2 linked regions of the Yarrowia lipolytica genome follow. The protein of the gene in region 1 purifies or fractionates together with the protein of each later gene. This does not show direct contact. Links are inferred from orthologs where the notes say so. Each region holds a gene or a part of one and is shown on either strand. Other genes may lie near its edges.

Region 1 (10,331 bases):
GTATCTACGAGGGCTAAAGAAACGGGATTATTATTATGCTAACAAGGGGAGGTAAATTCTAAAGGAGGACCAACCATTTTTTATCGATTGTGAGAGTGTCAGAGACTGATTTAGTCGAGTCGTCGTCGCTGGTTCTGCAGCTTGATGTTCTCGTACTGCCGGCCATCCTTTCGCCGTCGCTGGTTCTTGAACTTGGGGATGGCCCGAGCTCCAGCAGTGATCTGTGTGAACAGGACATAGATACAGGCGAAAATGACGACAACAGAGGGGATGGTGATGATGGTGATCATCATGCCCTCCTCGTTCTTGTCCAAATCAAGTCGTCCCTTGTCCTTCTTCTGCACGATGGCACCTCGTCGGAATCGCACAAAAGTAGAGTTCTTCAGAAGATAGTCATCGGTGATCTCGTCGTCATCCATGTAGTCAGGCTGGATAGCAACGGCAACCTTCTGCTCGTACTCGCCATCGAGCCACTCCTCCTCAATCTCCATAGGGTAGACTCCCCAGGTGTTTGACACCCATTCGGTGATGTGGAAGACACTGCTGTCCTCAATTTCTCGCTTGTGCAGAGCCTTACCCTGAATGTATGCGCAGTGGAGTCGGACCTTCTCGGCGTCGGGGAATTCTCGGGTGTACCAGGTGAACCAGTGGACGTGATCAAGCATGACACCCTTTCCGTATTGAGGGGAGCACCAGGGGCCAACTCGCTGCTTCTTCACCTTGATAAACTTCTCGGGTGTGCATCGCTCAACAGGGTTGAAGGAGGCCTCGATGGGATCCTCCTCGTCCAACATCTCATTGTGGACCACGACATCAGTAGGGTGAGCGGTCTTGTAGCCAGCAGAACGAGCGTTCTCAGTCACGTCTCGGTTGACGTGGAACCAGTCTCCATACTCAGGAGGAGCATTCTTAGTCTTTCCTTTGACCACCTTGGGAGTGATGGTCTTGGCCTGACCGTCCTTCTTCAGCTTGATCCAAGGGTTGGGAACAGCACCCACCTGTCGCTGGCCTCGGAAAAGCGCGTCTCCCCAGACGGTGGGGGTGACATGCATGGGTTCACCTCCATCTGTGGGCTTCAGCAGCCACGGCTTGGTCACATGGGCCTTTGTGATTTTAGTTTTCTTGGAGAACACCTTGGGGGGTCGCTTAAAGGGGTCTGCTCGCTTCTCGAGGTCAGACACGTCTGTGGGCTCGGATCCGGGCAAATCTGTGATGGTCGAGTAGTCGATGGCTTCGGTGTTTACCACGGTAGCTGTTGGCAGCGCCAGAACGGCTCCGGCAAGAAGAAGTACCGAGAATTTCATTGTTGTGTACAGTAGTGTTACACGTGTGTTGAGGCTATGCGATGTAGCGTGCGAATGCGGGTTTGGGGGGCACTAGGGCAGATGCTGAGCTCAAATACTCTTGTTTTCAACGTGTTTTTAGGCGGTGGCGAAAATGGTCGTGACTTCACAGGTGTGTTAGGAAGACTGTTGGAGGGTGATGTGTGTTTTTAAACCTGATGCGTGATTTAGCTCAAAAAATGAGATACATGAAGTATAAGCAGAATGTTTGTACGGCTGGGAGGAGAAACGGGTGAAAAGTCGGGCGTTTGGAGGCGTAAAACGTGCGTTCGAGCAGCAAAAATGTTCATAACAGTGAATCAACATATTAAACGCCCTCAAACGGTCAATAAGCATTATATTCACGGACTTACCGCCGCCTCGCTTTCGCCAGTCGTATCTCAGTGTTACGTTTCCCGGACTTGTAGAGTTCTGAGCCTAATCCAGGTTTTTGGTGGCACCCAAGTCTTCTCCCAAACACGAGTATTTTCCAGCATATGCAGATTTTCCTAGGACCGTTAAAAATTAAATCCGACGGAGATAACGCGCCCGCAGAAACTTTGAGACGCACAGTAAGCAGAAAAAGTTAGTGGTAGACGACTGGCACAGATACTGAACAAAACAACCACTATCAATCACACATTCACCATGGCTGAACAAATAAGAACCAACCTTGTTCATCAGCATCTGTGGAGCGACGTGGTCATCCACCAGACTAAGCTCACAGACCTGGTGCATGGAACTCCACCCAGGACTTTGCACCCTGATGACGCTGAGATCAGATCGGAATGGCTAGTACCTGCCAGATCCAACGACGACTGGACTATCAAGCAGTGGGACGAGTGTTTTCGCGAGGCTGAGGGTGTGGCTGGAAAAGACGTCGATCGCATGCTAATGGCCATCGTGGACAATGACTCCACCATCGTCTACTACTTCGTCTACAAGGGTCTGGTCAAGCCTCGAAAGAACTAGATTCACAACTATTATACACCCTGTTCCGTTATGATCCCGGTCCAGGCATTATCACCTTGCATTATAAATATATGTACATTACATGAAACAATATGGTCTGGGGCATAGTAATGTAGCACCCAGTCAGCCAGAAGACCTGTAGCTCGCGGCTTAAATAGGTCTTGACTGTAACATCAACTTCCATCTTTGTCACTCCAAAAACACCATGGATTCGTCAATCACAGGGCTCAGTTTCACATTGCCACTGTTAACCCAACGTCTAACAGATTTCTTCAAAACCCGTCCTCCCAGTTGTACCTTCTTGGCTTTTTCGTCGCTGTAGAGAACTACAGCATGCATTTCTTTGAGTGCTCGCATCACATCTTCCGGCTGGATATAAGTATGTTCGCTGATCGTCTCAATCGTGATGACGTCTTCTGTACACTCTATCAAGATGAACCGGGCTATCGTAGTACACCAGTAAGACATATATGATAAAGTGCCGAACTTCGACAGCGGTCGCTCTGGACTTCCTTTACGGCCTTCGTACTTCGACAGCACGTATGAAAACTCGATCAGCAGTTTGCCCAGCCCTCGCCTTTGATACGGAGGAAATACCAGAATGCAAGCCAGATTGTTTTCGTCCCACGACAGTTTCTCCTTGGAGAAGAAGCCCATGGGTTTAAAGTGCCTGCTGCTGGCGGTATCCTTGCCGAGCACAACATAAAATTCAAAGGCATCGGCGCCGAAGAACACAGACTTGTGGTCCAGGAAGAGCTTCGCGAACAGACAGAGATTCTGGCAGTAGAGCTTGTGAACGGCGCCATCAACACGGCGAATGGCATAGTCTTTCGATTTGTAAACCGTCTCTCCGGGGTGCTTGAACACATACTTGCAGGTGCTTCGGTGTTGGGCCATGTCCTTGGAGACCTTCGAGTATTTGAAACACGAGTCGCAGACAAACAGCTGTTTGACCTGGAAGTCGACCTGGGCTGGTGGTTGGTCATTGGGGGCCACAGATGCGTTTGCTGATGATCCAGAGGACGAAATGGTTGAGGATGTTAATGCAGAAGAGGTTCCTCCAGGTGTGCCAACAGACGGAGAGCTGTAGCGCTCAATGAAGAGCCGGGACATGTCGCAGGTGTGATTGTCCTTGTCCTTGTCGAGGGCCTTGGCCTCCATCAACGCCATGGCCCGCTTCCAGGTCAACTTCTTGAGTTCGTCCTTCTGTGAAAAATAGTATGCCGACGAGTGGTACCACGTGTCGAATTCACGAGGGCCAAAGACCACCCGTCCAATGTTTCGTGGAGGCTCTTCTTCCTCCTCATCGTCCAAGGGGTCGTCGTGCATTAGTGTTGGCATGCCAGGAGAAGATGTTGTCTATGTTGAAGGACTTCGTTTCTCGTCACCACAGAACAGTCATGCACGCTTCAACGTCGCGCTTAAAGACCCATGAGGCGGATGTGTAATAGATTACTTGTAGAGCAATTACTAACGAGAATGGTGTATAACATACTAGGGCTCAGTGTGCACACTATGTAACCATCATTTAATATAAATGTGTCTCTTTTAATTACACCTTTCATTTTTCTACTGAGACCACCTCACTTGCGGCTCGTACTATTTTCGCCCCTCAAAAATCGATGCCAATTTTTGGGAACCAAAATTTTATTGTTTATAATTATGTGAACTGCAGTTTGGTTTATAACTGAGACTCTCAAAGAAAAACATATATTACGTGAACATTTACTTCAAGTTATTATAGAAAAAGAACCTGTCTCCTCCCAACAGCCACATCACATGACCGCGCATACATCATGCACAATCAGAAAAAATTGGGCAATATAGCATAACCTGCGTGAAGCTGATTCAACCCATCGCTTCAACTATGGCGAAATACAAGCTAGGATACAACGCAAAGGCCCGAGCCGGCTCGCTGAAGAAGCAGCAGGAGCTCAAGGCCGCCAAGCAGAAAACCTGGGTCAAGAAGCCTACAGCAGAGGAGGAGGAAGAAGACGCCAATGCCGAGCTCATGGTGCCCAAGAGTGAGGCCGAGAAGGAGGCTCGAAAGAGAAAGCTCCAGGAAGAGCTCACACCTACGGAGAGCAAGATGACTTCAAAGAAGCGAAAGCGTCTAGACAAGTACATTGTGAGTATGACACGAGGATACGTCGCAGGTTTAGCTTAACCAGATTAGCTGAACCAGATTAGCTGAACCAAGGACATTCGCTGCGCTTATGATTACATACTAACTCAGGAAAAACAACTCAAGAGAGAAGAGAAGAAGGCATTGTTTTCCGAGTTTGCTGCTCGAAAGGGCACCTTTGATACATCTCAGCTCAAGTCTATGAAACACATGGGTGACAAGGAAACCAAAAAAGCCCGGATCGAGGAAGCTTTGCGTCTGGAGAAACTGGGTCTCGGTAATGAGGAGACCAAGGAGATTCTGTACGAGAAACACGATCACGAAGAGTGGGATGACGAGAAGCATTCTCATCTCCTGACTGAGCTGGAGCGAAAGGAGAAGCAAATGGCCGAAGAGGAAGAGCAGGAGAACAAAAGCTCATTCATTGACATGCGACCCAAGGCTGGTGGTGGTTTCGGTTTCCAGAACCTGGCCAAGGTTTCCAAGCCCGCAAAAAACTCTTACTCTTGGCGAAAGAAGCTCGAGATTGAGCGTGCTCGAAAGAACAAGAAGGACTACGTTAGCTCCGGGGAGGACGACGATACCGATTCTGATGAGGAGGATTCTGACGAAGATTCAGACGAGGATTCGGATGAGGAGTCTGAGGAGTCAGAAGAGGAAGGCACCAAAAAAGTGAAGGCGGCTGCCGAGGAGGAGATCGAGGAAGATGTCGAGGAAGAGGAAGAAGATGAAGACGAGCAGGAGGAGGAGGATGAGGACGAAGATGAGGACGAAGATGAGGACGAGGAAGAGGAAGACGAGGAAGATGACGAGTATACCGAAATCGTCACCAAAAAGACAAAGGGTTCTTCTTTCAAGGAATGGATCGATGAACAGTCTGGACCCAAGTCTTCCAACATCGAGGATCTCTCGCATATCAAGATCAAGAAAGAAAGAGTGGACAGAGACGAGGACCGCCTTACTCCTCCTCCCGAAGACATTGCCCAACCCGAGTACGCCAAAAGAAAGGCCTTTTATGTCAACGTTCAGCGAGACCCTGAAATCCAGACCTCCCGAATGAACCTTCCTGTCACCGGAGAAGAACAGAGAATCATGGAAGCCATTTTCAACAACGATTGTGTCATCATCTGTGGTGAAACTGGTTCAGGTAAGACTACACAGACTCCTCAATTCCTGATCGAGGCGGGTTTCGGAACGAAGGGTAGTGACTACCCTGGTATGATCGGTGTCACCCAGCCTCGACGAGTGGCCGCCATCTCTATGGCGCAACGTGTTGCTAACGAGTTGGGTAACCAAGGTGATAGAGTTGCCCATCAGGTGCGATTCGATGTCACCGTGAAGGATAATACAGCTCTCAAGTTCATGACTGATGGTGTGTTGCTGCGAGAACTGTCCCAAGACTTTGCTCTTACCAAGTACTCTGCTCTGGTAATTGATGAGGCCCATGAACGTAACATCAACACTGATATTCTCATTGGTGTGCTTTCTCGAGTTCTCAAGTTGCGAAAGGAGATGTTCAACGAAGGCAAGTGCGAGTCTCCCCTCAAGCTCATTATCATGTCTGCTACTCTGCGGGTTTCCGATTTCACAGAGAACAAGACTCTTTTCCCAGTTCCTCCTCCTGTTCTCAAGGTTGAGGCCCGACAATATCCCGTTTCTGTCCACTTCAACAAACGAACAACTTACGACTACATGGACGAGATCTACCGAAAGACCTGCAAGATCCACAAACGACTGCCCGATGGTGGTATTCTGATCTTCCTGACTGGCCAAAACGAGATTGTTAACGTGGTCAAGCGGCTTCGGAAGGCCTTCCCTGATCGAACTAAGGTGTGGCGGCCCAAGGACAAGTCTGAGGATCTCCAGGTCAAGGTGTCTGCCAATGAGACTGTAGTGGAGGCCGAGGAGGTTGATTTTGGCGCCGATATGCGACAACAGGACTATGCTGCTGTCGAGGGAGAGTCTGAGACAGATGAGGAGGACGGAGAAGAAGGTTTCGAAGAGGAGCTTGCTGTCGAGGAGCGAAATGAGTCTGCTCCTCTGCACGTGCTTCCTCTTTACTCTCTGCTGCCTACCAAGGAGCAGATGAAGGTGTTTGAGGAGGTTCCTGCCGGCCATCGACTGTGTGTCGTTGCTACTAACGTTGCTGAAACTTCGCTGACCATTCCTGGTATCAGATATGTGGTTGATTGTGGTCGAGCAAAGGAGCGAAAGTACGATGAAGAGACTGGTGTTCAGTCCTTTGAGGTTGATTTCATCTCCAAGGCTTCTGCCGATCAGCGAGCTGGTCGTGCCGGTCGAACTGGTCCCGGTCACTGCTACCGTGTCTTCTCATCTGCCGTCTATGAGGAGTTCTTCCCTCAATTCTCCATCCCCGAGATTCTCCGATGCCCTGTTGAGGGCATTGTTCTGGAGATGAAACACATGGGTATTGACAAGGTGGTCAACTTCCCCTTCCCCACTCCCCCCGACAGACAGTCCCTGGCCAAGGCCGAGAAGCTGCTGGAGTACCTAGGTGCCCTCAGCAACACTGGTGTTATTTCTGATATGGGTAAGCAGATGTCTCTGTTCCCTCTGTCCCCGCGATTCGCCAAGATGCTCATTATTGGTTCTCAGCTCGAGTGCCTGCCTTACATGGTTGCCATTGTTGCTGCTCTCACAGTTGGAGATCCCTTCATTGGAGAGCACGAGCTTGGCATCAATGAGAAACCACAGAAGCCCAAGGTTGAGGAGGTTGATGAAGACGGAGACCGGATTAAGAGCAACGAGTCTGACTCCGAGCCCGAGGACATTTACGAGATTGAGCGAAAGCGAAAGCTGCGATCCAGCTACCATAAGGCCCAGGCAAAGCTGGCCTCCCTGGACCCTGCATCTGACGCTCTGAAGCTGCTCTCTGCCGTCTGCGCCATGGACTACGATTCCGACCTGGAGAACTTCTGCAAGGGCTTCTTCCTGCGACACAAGCTGATGGAGGAGATGCGAAAGCTGAGACAGCAACTGAGCCGAATCGTTGTGGCCAACTCCGACCCTCGAGCAGCTCCTATGCTCAAGGAACAGTTGAATGCCAAGCTCAAGCCTCCTTCTAAGCTCCAGATCAAGGCTCTCAAGCAGATGATTGCCACTGGTTTTGTTGACCAGGTGGCTCAGCGTCTGGACAAGGTCAGCGAGGACTACAAGCTCACTTCTCGAGAGCGAATCATCAACGTTCCCTACCAGACTCTGTTCCCCACCTCCACCACCAACAAGAAGACTGACGACCAAGGAAACCCTCTGCCTGACGACACTCAGGTGTTCATTCACCCCGGATCTGTCATTAACACTATGGGAACTCATCCTCCCGAAATGTTGGTATTTGCTTCCGTCAACCGATCGGGATCTTCCAAGCTGAGAATCAAGCCTCTCTGTGATATCACATCTGCCCAGATTGGCAACATTGCCAAGGGCACTGCTCTACTCACATACTCCAAGCCCCTGCCTCCCCCCTACGGCCCCAAGATGATCACCAGTACCTCTCGAGAGTGTTGGGTGGTTCCTCGGCTGGGAGCTGCTATTGGCTCTGGAGGCACTGGATGGGATCTGCCTCCTATTAAGGTGAAACAGGAGAAGAAGGGTAGCCAGTGGGTTACCTTGTAAAAATTGCCATAGCAACAAACGAACAAAAACCATAGCATGTTTATATTGTATTAGATTTCTTCATAATTTTAGGGAAACACACTGTATCTTCACTTCGTAGCTACAGCACTTACTAAGCACTTTTTACATCCTCGGTAAGTAATTAGGTTTGTGCATCCATACCCCACATAAAGTTGAACATGAAAGAAGGGAAGACTGATTTGCCCCCACAGCACCAGACAACCAGCAATACGGCGGTTGATCATTGTTAAGCCAAACGATTGGAACCTGATCATATCATATCAACCCAAAACGACCTTTCCTCACGACAAAAAATGGACTACTTTTCGTCACTCAACGCGAGCCAGCTGGATCCTGATGTGCCCACACTGTTTGAGCTTCTGTCTGCTAAACAGCTGGAGGGTCTGATTGCCCCTTCGGTTCGATATATTCTTGCATTCTACGCCCAGAGACATCCGCGGTATCTACTGCGAATCGTCAACCGCTACGACGAGCTGTACGCGTTGTTCATGGGTCTGGTGGAGTACTATAATCTCAAGACATGGAATGCCAGCTTCACAGAAAAGTTCTACGGTCTGAAACGAACACAGATCCTGACGAATCCCGCACTGAGAACACGCCAGGCCGTGCCGGATCTGGTCGAGGCTGAAAAACGGCTGAGCAAGAAGAAAATCTGGGGATCACTCTTTTTCCTCATTGTGGTGCCATATGTGAAGGAGAAGTTGGATGCGCGATACGAGAGACTCAAGGGCCGGTACCTAGCTAGGGATATCAATGAGGAGCGAATCGAGATCAAGAGAACAGGTACGGCCCAACAAATAGCAGTCTTCGAGTTTGACTACTGGCTTCTCAAGCTCTACCCCATTGTCACCATGGGATGCACCACTGCCACCCTGGCCTTCCACATGCTCTTCCTCTTCTCCGTCACGAGGGCGTATAGCATTGATGACTTCCTGCTTAACATTCAGTTCTCTCGAATGACCCGGTACGACTACCAGATGGAGACCCAGAGAGATAGCAGAAACGCTGCTAACGTGGCCCATACCATGAAGTCCATCTCCGAGTACCCCGTTGCAGAGCGTGTGATGCTGCTGCTCACAACAAAGGCTGGAGCCAACGCCATGCGATCTGCTGCTCTTAGCGGCCTTTCGTATGTGCTTCCCACTTCTATTTTCGCCCTCAAGTTCCTTGAGTGGTGGTACGCGTCTGATTTCGCTCGACAGCTGAATCAAAAGAGACGAGGAGACTTGGAAGACAATCTTCCGGTGCCAGATAAGGTCAAGGGAGCCGACAAACTTGCGGAGTCCGTGGCAAAGTGGAAGGAGGACACCTCCAAGTGCCCTCTCTGTAGCAAGGAGCTGGTCAATCCTACAGTCATTGAGTCAGGTTATGTGTTTTGCTACACTTGCATTTACCGACATTTGGAGGATGGAGACGAGGAGACAGGCGGTCGATGTCCCGTGACTGGCCAGAAGCTGCTGGGATGCAGATGGCAGGACGATGTATGGCAGGTGACCGGTCTGAGACGACTGATGGTGTAACGATACATACTATAGCATAACATGTACATTTAAACGCATCTTTTATCTTTATGCGACAGGGCGTGTTTGCGCGCTTCCCATTGTAAAATTACAGTACATTGTATAACTTATATGAACCTCCTGTCGAATCTCGACCTTTACCTTTTGTTTCCGATTGTATTCTCCTTCTCCTAAATTGGCTTAATCTTGAAATGCAGACCCACCAGAGAAAACACCAGGGCCTTGATATCCTGAACCAGATAGTAGAACGTCCGCAGACCTTCGGGGTCGTCCGATCTCTGCACATCCGACAAGGATCCTATTCGACCAGTCTCGAATGCAATGTGGTAGTTGGCAAATTTGATTTCCAGCTCCTGTTTACCGTCTCTGTTCTTTGGCGGCCACTTGGCATCGTTTTCCTTGAGGATTTCCGACTCTTTGATCATCTTCTTGAGCACCTTGACCACCACTGGTGAAACAGCCACTTCTCGACGGATAAGAGTGTCATTCTTGTAGTTCGAGTTGTTGGCGTATCGCAGCAGCGCAGATCGACCCTGGTCCAGCAACTGAAAGTCGAATTCCAAAAACTCATGGCCAAATCGACCCGTGTGGCCCGAGTAGTATTGTAGATAAAAGGCTTCTTCTTTGGCGTCTACCCTCAGAGAGAGGGGCTTTTCGATAAGATCATCTTCAGGCTCCACTACTTCGAGCTCCTCCTCCATCTGCACGTCCTCTCCGGGACGCGTGGCAATGCTGTAT
Region 2 (10,331 bases), on another chromosome or scaffold:
GGTTCTTTTCGTTATTGAGATTCACATCAGCCAGAATATCCCGCTCCTTCTTGCCATCATTGGCAAAGAAAATGCGGTACCAGTAATACCCAATAAAGAGTAGCGCAAGGTTGAAACAGCCCAATCTGTACAACTTCACCAGTGTGCCAATAAGTCGCTTGTGGGTGTATCGCTTGAGAACAGACTTATTGCTCCACCACAGAATCGAAAACAGTTGCTGGAAATTGGCCAGTGTGAATCCTCCCACAGCCATGGACAGAAACAGCCGCTCTTCTCCAGACAACCGCTTGAACCACTTTCCAAGTGAGATCTTTCTCTTTTTCAGGGGTGGGAAACGCACCGTGGTTCCTGTGCCTTGAACTTGTCCCTCTGTGACCAGATCGCGCGTGATCACAGACAACAACGAGAACTTCAAGTAATTGTCGTCCATGGCGTATGTGTATGAGTATGTGTGTGTGTGGTTGTTAAAGAGAAGTTGGTTGAGTTGTGATCCAAGGTTTAGTGTCGATGCTTCAGGGGTGTCTGTTTGGTGATACGCTAACAACCGAACTTGTGTGGGTACACGGTACGAGAACTCCTGGCCGTGGTCAAAATACGAGTACAAGTACTGTACCGGTACAGTACTTGTATTTTATGCTGTTTGTGTATGCAATCCCACCTGTATTCTGCTGCAGTTCACTGCGTTTTTCGTGCAGAAAAGTGGGGTATGCCATTATCACGTGTGGATTTTTCTTCGGTATGTTTCAGAATCTAAGAATCCAATTTTGGGGACTACTTGTAGTAGTTCACGTGACTTACAAGGTGCATCATGCCTATTTTCTTCGGTCGACTTCTCAACTCCATACACCATTTCTCATACTCTTGCTTATCGCAGATCACTCATCCGCACCAGAGCATGCGGCACTGAAAAGCCACCCTACTCTGTGCCGTATCAAAAGTTAAATGTGTCGTGTGCGTTATCTTTTTCATCTACAGAGCACACGGCGCACACCATGAAACGAGCTCTTGCTGCTGTTGCCCTGACGGCATTAGCGGTGGTTTTGATTCGAAACAGTCATAGTGGCGACTTCACCACCATACTCACGCGCTCAGAGTCTCTATCGGATGCGCCACCATTGAGACAATCGGAATTTTCCCCTCCAGCGTTTAATGAGTCAACCTACATTTTCAACGCTGTCCACAACCAGCTACGGCACGTTGGAAATGCTATGGCTCCTAATGGAATGACGTTTACCCCGGGATTCGTGCCTCCGGGAACCGTTCTATATCACGGCATGAACAGAAAGGAACTTCCGCAGGACCTTGACTGGTTCGCCTTTGACCCAGAGTATTCCTTCACAATGTGTTGCAACATCGGGCATGCCTTTGGTAATCCCCATATTACAACTGCCCAGGTGGTGGAACCGCTCAAGATTGTATACATTGACGGTGCCAGTGCGTCTCTGTCCTCCGATCTGGGGACCATGGACTCTCAGGGTTTTCTTCTAGACGATCCCATCGACACCTGGAATGACTACACTGAGTTTGCACGAGGTGATCGTCTGTGCAGACTTTTCAAGGAAAATGGCTTTAAGCTGGATGGTTTTGTGCGTATGAACACGGGCTTTGAGCTCCTAATGTGCAACATGACCAACCCCAAGGTGGAGTATGTCATGAACAATGCCATTGCGGTCAGTGAGGAGGAAGGTACCGCTGGCCTGATGAAGCGAAGTAGCTTTGAAGTTGGTCAGACTTTCTTGTCGAGAGACAGATTTGGCAATCTGCTGGTTCGTCCCTCTCGAGAATTCAACTTCTTTGATTATGACTGGGTCAAGAGCATGGAACGTACTCATTCCAGTGCAGGGGAAGAGCGGGTGGAGCTTGATTATCGGGGACTGGTGACCATTTACGGCATGGAGGGCAGCCGAGACATCGATTTTCCAAAAAATGTGTCTCAGCATCGACTGCTCACGGGTTCTGAGGCTCTGAGACAGGAGCTAAGGTCGCAGCTTTGGGAGGCAGACAAACACACAAGAACCTACGATCCGTACAGAATCAATTGGAGAACGGTGACGGACAACCTTGTGTACAAGATGGCGCCTATTTTGGCTCAGATTAAAAATGGGCAGCTGGAGGCTGGGACCAGCTCTTTGAACGATACGTCCAAGCATCTTGGTGGTATCACGTCCATGTTACGACTGAGATTTGAGGGTGATGAAGAGCTCGCTAACAGTACAAGACATGATGTTGATGCTCAGGTTGAACGATGTGCCAAAACATACGCTTCTGACTTCCATAAGTACGACGTCACGCCTTTTGAGGAAAAAGTGAGGTTCGCCATCAGACTTGTTTCCACTGCAGTGTGTTCTGTAATCATGGAAACTGCAGATTGGGCAAACAAGGTACAGACTCGTGTCGGCAACGTTTCTGAAGAGCTTCCATCTAAGTTGCATGCTGACGTTTCGGATCTGATATCTGATCTCAACTGGTCCTATTTTGTTTCTTGTACTCATCGGTGCAAGGACAACGAGGTCTGCTATCTCCCCACCTGGCCCCATGGAGGTCGAGAGCCCCATATTCCGGCAGAGCCTCTTCAGTGTAGAACCATTGAGGATCTCAGGAAGAGTAGAGGGCTGTAGGTTGTGTTTTATAGCAATAATTATTTTCTGATTTATGCTGTTTGTCAAGTATCTTTCAAGTAATTATGTTGATTCTCTTATATTCTTCACTTTGTTGGTTATCTCTCCTATACAATTTAGATTCGCGCGCATGCAGACAGACAGACGTTATCGTCATGAAACTTCCACCTCCCCACACACCAAATCACCATGGCAGCACTCATCATTGTGGACTTGCAAAATGACTTTCTTCCTGGAGGCTCTCTTGCTGTAGTCGACGGAAATGACATCATACCCATTGTTCAGAAACTCGCTGACTCTGGCAAGTACAAATTTGTGGTGGCCACCAAAGACAGTCATCCCCAAGACCACACATCGTTCGCCGCCAACCATGGAGCTGAGCCGTTCACCTCAATCACATTCAAGCACCCTAACTCAGACAAACAGGTAGACCATACCGTGTGGCCTGTTCATTGTGTGGAGGGTACTTCTGGGGCAGATTACCCTCCTTCATTCGACTCGTCCAATGTGCAGGCTCTTGTTCGAAAGGGATACTTGCAGGACAGAGAGTATTATTCTGGATTTGAGGACGTTTGGGGCATCCACAAGACAGAGCTTCATGACCTGTTGCAGCAAAATGGCGTTACGGAGGTTGACGTGGTGGGACTTGCATTTGATTATTGTGTGTTCAATACAGCTAAAGACGCTGCCAAACGCGGCTATAAAACCACAGTCATTAGGGAAGCCACCAAACCTGTGGATCCTTCTTCTGAAAAAAAGATTGTTGCTAGTCTTGAAGAGGCTGGGGTTCATGTCGTCTGATCCACAACCCAAACCGACTGGTGATACTGCTGCCAGTACAATACTCGCACTCCGATTGACTGCTCAAATATGCAATGTACAGTACACTGTGTGTATTTTCGTCTCTACATTCTCTTTATGACGGGTCTTTTGGGGCTCACTTTCTACAGTATATCCTAACACTTTTGTCTCTTTTTTACACAACACATACCATACAACTCTCAACACAAGACTCTGTTTGTTTATCATGGACGCCCTATACACTGCCTTCAACTCTGGAAAGCTGGAACCCTTCGTCCAATCTGTGTATAGAGATGGAACCATCGACCTCTACGCCAACAGTGAAGCCATCTGTCTGTTCTCAGGGAGAGAAAATGAGCCTTACCTAGACAGCTTTTTGGGTGGTATCTGTCTTCGATACAGCTGCAACCGGCTGATCAACGAAGGACCGTGGGAAGACCGTCTGGAAGCTGCCAAGCAGATGGTCCAGATCCTCACTCGTCACTATAAGACGCCCATTATCGACTCCAGTGTTCTGCTGAGCATGCACTCCGTGTTCGATACCATGGTCTCTCTGGGTGAGGAATGTTGCGTCTCTTCAGGCTCAATCGACTTTGTGCGCTTCGGAAGAGTCTTCCATGGCATCACGCTGGTCTACATTTTCATATCCGAGCTCAACCAGGCATTAATTTCTATTCCTGACTTTCTGATCCAACGTTGGGGAGCACTCAACCTACGGGCCAACGCCCTAGGCATTTCTGTCCAACCCAAGACCATGACCAAAGTTCTAGACGAGTCTCGAGGTCTTGTTTTGGGCATGCCTGTGTCCAATGGAGATTCTGCTACTGCCCATTACCTACTTTCGCGATTCGGAAAGATCTCCCAGATACTGACAGGACTCCAACAGTCTCCAAAAATCAGCCTTGGTGAGATATTGAGCTTCTGTGCGTCAGAACCTGACCTGCAGTTCCTCTCTCTCATGCTTGTTCGTCAAGACTACTACGAAGAGCTTGTCGAGCTGCTGGAGAACCCTGATGAGGAGATTGTGGGCATGACGACCATTCTTATGGTTCGTGTTGGTCTCACAATCAGATTCATTGACCCTGAGGAGGAGCTGCCAAGCCATCCATGTGTCCCACGATACTCCACGGGTTCTCTCACCCAACAGATGGAGTTTGTGTTCCAGATTTTGGACCGTCCAGACCTCTTGTCGGCCAAAATGAACTCTTCTAACCCCCATCACACCTGGATGGGTGCTCTGTCTGCAGTGGTGACTGAGTGGATCGCCGCTGATAAACCTGAGGAGGTGTACGGAGCGAACAAGAAGTTCTATGAGCTTGATCCCCCTGTATCACTCATTTTTGCGCTGTGTAGACTCCTCTACCTCGTTTGTGAGATGAATGGGGCTGGAAATAAGGATCTTGTCATCGGTAACATTCTCTCCTATGTCTCTCCTCCATCTCCGCTTCTACCCTCCAAGGTAGAGCCTATCAAGTTGGAAGACAGGTACCTTCCTTTCCAGCTGGGCGAGTTCGAGGGCACCACGATGGCTACCCGGGAGAGAAACCACGTGATTCTCTCTTTAATTGGGGTCATTAGACTCCAGATTGAATACACATACTCTTTTATTCGCGAAGAGATTGACAAAGATCTGATTAGAGTGCTCTTTTCTGGACTCCTGGCAGCCTATTCCAACTGCGTTATCCACGAGGAAACGTCTTCTATCGAGCTTATCATGTCCACTTTCAACGGTTGCATCCAGGTCTTCCCGTCTGGAGGTCTGATTCTTGTGGAACTACTGGCTGAGCTTTCGCAGCAGTCTCTACGGTTTGTTGGGGTATTTGCCACCGTGTTCAGCAGGTTCTATGACAAGAAGTACTTTTACGGGTGCGAGTTTTACTTCAATGACTTCCTTAGACGTTGGGGAGACACGCCGTCTTTTGATATCACACAGCTGCGTTCCAAGTTCACTTCTTCCTTGGAAGATAGAGCCACTGTTTCTGGAAGTACTTAGTTACGGTCTTGCAGTATATTCTCTTCTTTTCCTATCATTACCATTTGTCAATAAATATATGCCGTTCAAGATCGATCTTGTAGCTAGTTTACGTAATCATTTTCACTTGAGAAGCCTATTTCAGTAACCTGGTTTAGGGCTCAAATATGCATGGTGAGCCTATTTGAAATTTTTTGGCAGTAATCTGCAGAGGGACACAAAAGTTCCAAGGTATATCACTGACGCATCAACACCACAATGGTCCTTCGATCTACACCTGGAGCCGTTTCTGTGTACCAGATTTCTGGTACAAACTCTTCCAGATCACTGCCAGAATGGCTGGCCAAGAAGCGAAAGAAGTCTCTCAAGAACGATGCCGAGTACTCCAACCGAATCGAGCTGATTCAGGATTTCGAATTTGCTGAGGCTTCCAACAAAATTGAGGTGACTCGAGATGGAGGATATTGCATGGCCACCGGTACTTATAAGCCTCAGATCCATGTCTACGACTTTGAGGATCTCTCTCTCAAGTTTGAGCGACACACTGACGCTGAGAATGTTGACTTCAAGATTATCTCCGACGACTGGACCAAGAGTGTGCATCTGCAAAACGACCGATCTATTGAATTCCAAGGACAGGGCGGAATCCTGACGAAATCACGAATCCCAAAGTTTGGACGAGCGCTGGCTTACAACGACGAAAACTGCGACCTGTATGTTGGAGCTGCAGGAAACGAGGTATACAGACTGAACCTGGACCAGGGTCGGTTTATGGCTCCCTTTGAGCTCAGCAGTGCCGGTGTCAACTGTCTGGACGTTAACCAGGCCCACGGTCTCCTGGGTTTCGGTACTGATGCTGGTATTGTCGAATTTTGGGATCCTCGAAGTAGGAGCAGAGTGGGTATGCTGGATGTGGGCGCTCCCGGACTGGGTGGCGGTGCCACAGCTCTCAAGTTCAGAAACGACGGTCTGAACGTGGGTATCGGTAACGCTGACGGTATTGTTCGTCTCTTTGATCTGCGAGCGCCGGAGCCCTATGTCACCAAGGACCAGGGATACGGTTTTGGCATCAAGAAGGTGCTGTGGGTCAACGACGACCATGTGCTGTCTGCCGACAAGCGAGTCGCCAAGATCTGGGACCGACGAACCGGAGACGCCTACACCTCCATTGAGCCCACTGTGGACATTAACGACGTGGCACACATCCCCGGTTCCGGTATGTTCATGTTCGCCAACGAGGGTATTCCTATGCATACTTACTACATCCCCAATCTGGGACCTGCGCCCAAGTGGTGTTCATTCCTGGAAAACGTCACCGAAGAGCTGGAGGAGAAGCCCAGCACTTCTGTATACGACAACTACAAGTTTGTCACCAAGCGAGAGCTGGCGGCACTCAACATTTCACACCTCATTGGCTCGGCCGTGGTCAAGTCGTATATGCATGGTTACTTCATTGACCAGCGGCTCTACGAGCAGGCCAAGCTCATCTCCAACCCTTTTGCTTACAAGGAGCACCGAGAGCGGGAGATCCGAAAGACTCTGGAGAAGGAGCGGGAGTCGCGTATCCGAACCTCTGGAACTGGAGCCATTGCATCCCGTGTCAAGGTTAACAGGGCTCTTGCTGAGAGACTATTGGCTGAGTCTGAGGCCGAGGTCACTAACAAGAAGAAGGTGTCTGCCAAGGAGACTTCCAAGGCTGCTCTTTCCGACGATCGATTCGCTGGCATTTTCGAGAACCCCGATTTCGAGGTCGACGAGAATGCTGCAGAGTTCAAGCAGCTCAACCCTTCGCACAAGAAGGTCAAGGGCCAGCAGTATGGTGAGGCACCTCTGCGAACTACTGCCCGACCCCTTACTGCTGCTGAGGAGGAGGCCATGGAGGAGAATAACGGCTACTCGTCCGATGAGCACGTGGAGGCTACTGATGAGGAGCCCGACTCTGAGGATGAGCGAAAGGCCGCCAAGAAGAAGGCTCTGGCAGAGAAGCGGGCTGAGAAGAAGGCTGCTGAGCGTGCAGCCTTCCAGGCCAAGCGTGCTGACAATATCAAGATGACTACGGGCTCTGAGGCTGCTCGAGAGGAGATTCCCGATGACGACTTTGCTGACCGAGTGGCTGATCTCGAGGCTGAGGAGGACCGGCACGTCATGAAGAACGTCAAGATGTCCAAGGGCGCTGGAGGAGCCGTGGAGATGACTTTTGTGCCTCAGGGAAGAGGCAAAAAGGGTCGTGGTCCTCGACCCAAGCGAGATGGAGATGAAGAGGAGGCACGGGACACTGGAAAGAGCAGACAGGAGTATGATGGTCGACGACGGGCTGGCAAGAACGCCTTCCGAGGTATGTAAGAAATGCATAATTAGTATAGAAGCGAAAGGATTCAAAGTATTAGTTCGAGAGATTATGTAGATGATGTAATGAATGCAGTACGAGTGTATACAACTGAGATACCGGTACTGTACTTGTACTGTAGCTACTCGAAAGACGCAGGAAGACACCGATGCAAACGCTTATTCCTACTCGTACTCGTACTATGATAGCACTGAAAACTGTATCAATTTGTCGTAACCGTGCCGAATGGCTTGCCGCACCATTTATTATCTCGCCGCACACCATTATCATGCTCCAGATCCTGTCACGCTCCACTTCCCGTAACTACCAGTATGTGTACATTCCTCTGCGGCTCCCCGTCCACCGACCGCAGATAAGATGTATGGCCACTCACCGGCTAATGAAATCGGTAGTTTGCTCATGCTGCCTTGCGGAAAAAAATGGTGAACACTAAACGGAGACTCCCTTTTGATAATAAGGTGTTTGGCGTATAGAGATACGGGTTTTGAAGTATAAGAGAGAAGAAGTGTAGGTTGCTGTATTTGGATCTCCCCAAGTCTAGTCGTATCACATCTGACTGTCCATGACGTGCTCTACAGCCATTTCTTCGTAGCTCTTCTTTCTATGCGGCTCTTGTTGAGTTTCAACGGGCCCCGCATGTACACTCCAGCCAAACTCAACTGTTGTGTATACTGTAGGTATGGTATGGTATGAAAGAACCGCCTGAGAGAGGTCTCGGGTTCCCATGCACGTGACGCCGCAACACAACGGTTGCGTTTAAGTTGGTGTCTTAAGTTTGGGCCCGAGTGGGGAAGGTCCTACGGGGCCACATAGCGGTTGGATGGCTTAGTAGTGGTGTGTCATCCTCCGGACCACTGATTTCTGCGCGCCCAGAAACGTCAGCAGCACACCACCCGCTTGTCGGCATGATTGCGAATAAACAAGTTAAGAGTTTCATTTAACGGAGCGAGGGCTGCTGAATGCACAGGAGGATAACGCAATGCTGCGCACACATTTTCGGCACGCAACCTAGCAGCAACTGTTGAGACTGCTGTGAGTGGGTCTGTTTAAGGGTTTGTGTGTGTGCCGGCTGCATGGGGTTAGGTAGGCCAGTGTGATTCAGCCTATACACCCGCGCCACACACGTAAAACTGCATCTCTATCTTCTTGGAGACAACGGGAAGCTGTCAACCTCAACTTGTTTGTCGGCCTTGCGGCGCTTCTTTTAGCCCTGGCCTTATAAGGTAAAATAGGGTTGGGCAAGCGGCTGGAATTACTCCGCGCCGCACGGACCTTTAGGGCCTTCGGCAGCAGTTTGGAGAAAGCAAAAGCCCAGAGCACACGAGTGTGGTTTGCACTTGTTTTGATTTTGGTCTGAAAAAGTCCCTATAACCCTACATGTCTGCTCAGGACGAACGCTCACGCATCCCCCCAATTTCCTCCCAGGCCGATTCCGCCCTTCTCAATCCGCCTCACTCTGCTCTTCAACAACAACAATCGTCTTCCAACGGCACCAGTAACCAACCAGACTCGTCAACCATGACGGACACACGAGGCCCGTTGATGACGCAGGAAGCCCGCGATCGCGAGACCCAAAACAGCCTGAAACCACATCCGCAGTCGCAGTCGCTCTTCAACAAACCCCAGATCGCACCTGTGCTCACTGAAGCTGCCTCAGGCTTGCGCCCCGACACCAACATCAACAGTAATAACAACAACGCCTCGTCGCATACTTCTCATACGACATCGCTCTTGTCAGCAGCAGCATCAGCTCGAGGGCCCGATGGATTGATCGCGCACATCAGAAATGCTGCACCCCCAACAGCGGCCATAGAGTCCTCGCCATACTACTCTTACCCCCAACCACATTCTCATATGAAGAACCATCCGCATCAGCAGCCTCCCGCAGCTCCAGGTATCTTCCCCCAGCATCCCCAGCATTCACCACCCCACCCACAAGCCCATCCTCACCAGCACCAGCCTCCAGCACCATACGGTTATGCCCCTGGGCGTCTGCCTCCTCCAGGAATGCGACCCCCCGCCATGGGCTACTACCCGTACTACCCGTACTCGGCCGATTTGCAGCGAATGCCTCCAGTCGACCAGGGAGACGCCTCACACCCCAAGCTGCCACGTATTAACGTCGACCCTCGTGTAAACTCGCCTGAACAACGACCCTACCCCGACTACGCGCAGCAGCAACCTCAACAGCACGCGCCTCTGCAGACCAGCAACAATAACAATCGCGCGCCTCCAGAGCAGGCGTCCACAGCTTCCGACTTTGGTGGCGACAGACCGCCACCTAAAAAGCGAGGCAGAAAACGAATTGAGGTCGCCGAGGTGCTGGCTAACAACGACCTGAGCCACTGCTCGCCTCTGGGAGAAAAGGAACTCGAGGCCGACCATCGAAAACACAAACGGCCCTCAAGACCTCAGGCTGCAGAAACCACTACCGGAGAACGGCAGTACCCATGCACCTTCCCAGGATGTGAATGGTCATTTGTGCGAATTTCCGACCAACGACGCCACCTGAGATCGCACCAGGAGCCGCTGTTTGTGTGTCCCTTCTACGCCGAAGACAACTCATGCCACAGAAACGGAGGCTCTTTCACAC

What was found.
Region 2: the proteins of YALI1_D35148g (region 1) and YALI1_A22157g purify together in Saccharomyces cerevisiae (affinity purification with mass spectrometry, with the first as the bait; 3 studies listed by BioGRID). This does not show direct contact. The link is inferred for Yarrowia lipolytica from reciprocal best matches to the Saccharomyces cerevisiae genes ECM16 and ENP2.

What each region holds. Positions count from the first base shown.
Region 1 is NC_090773.1:3,510,569-3,520,899, forward strand, and holds YALI1_D35148g (uncharacterized protein), read left to right. Parts: upstream 1-4,161; coding exon 4,162-4,422; intron 4,423-4,530; coding exon 4,531-8,052; downstream 8,053-10,331. Other genes in the region: YALI1_D35119g (uncharacterized protein), read right to left, coding at 111-1,304; YALI1_D35126g (uncharacterized protein), read left to right, coding at 1,971-2,294; YALI1_D35143g (uncharacterized protein), read right to left, coding at 2,484-3,635; YALI1_D35190g (uncharacterized protein), read left to right, coding at 8,367-9,593; YALI1_D35210g (uncharacterized protein), read right to left, coding at 9,764-10,331. UniProt on the Saccharomyces cerevisiae protein: Probable ATP-binding RNA helicase. Required for 18S rRNA synthesis. May play a role in restructuring of the pre-rRNA.
Region 2 is NC_090770.1:2,210,053-2,220,383, forward strand, and holds YALI1_A22157g (uncharacterized protein), read left to right. Parts: upstream 1-5,649; coding exon 5,650-7,734; downstream 7,735-10,331. Other genes in the region: YALI1_A22105g (uncharacterized protein), read right to left, coding at 1-430; YALI1_A22111g (uncharacterized protein), read left to right, coding at 993-2,618; YALI1_A22129g (uncharacterized protein), read left to right, coding at 2,808-3,419; YALI1_A22137g (uncharacterized protein), read left to right, coding at 3,646-5,412; YALI1_A22192g (uncharacterized protein), read left to right, coding at 9,116-10,331. UniProt on the Saccharomyces cerevisiae protein: May be involved in rRNA-processing and ribosome biosynthesis.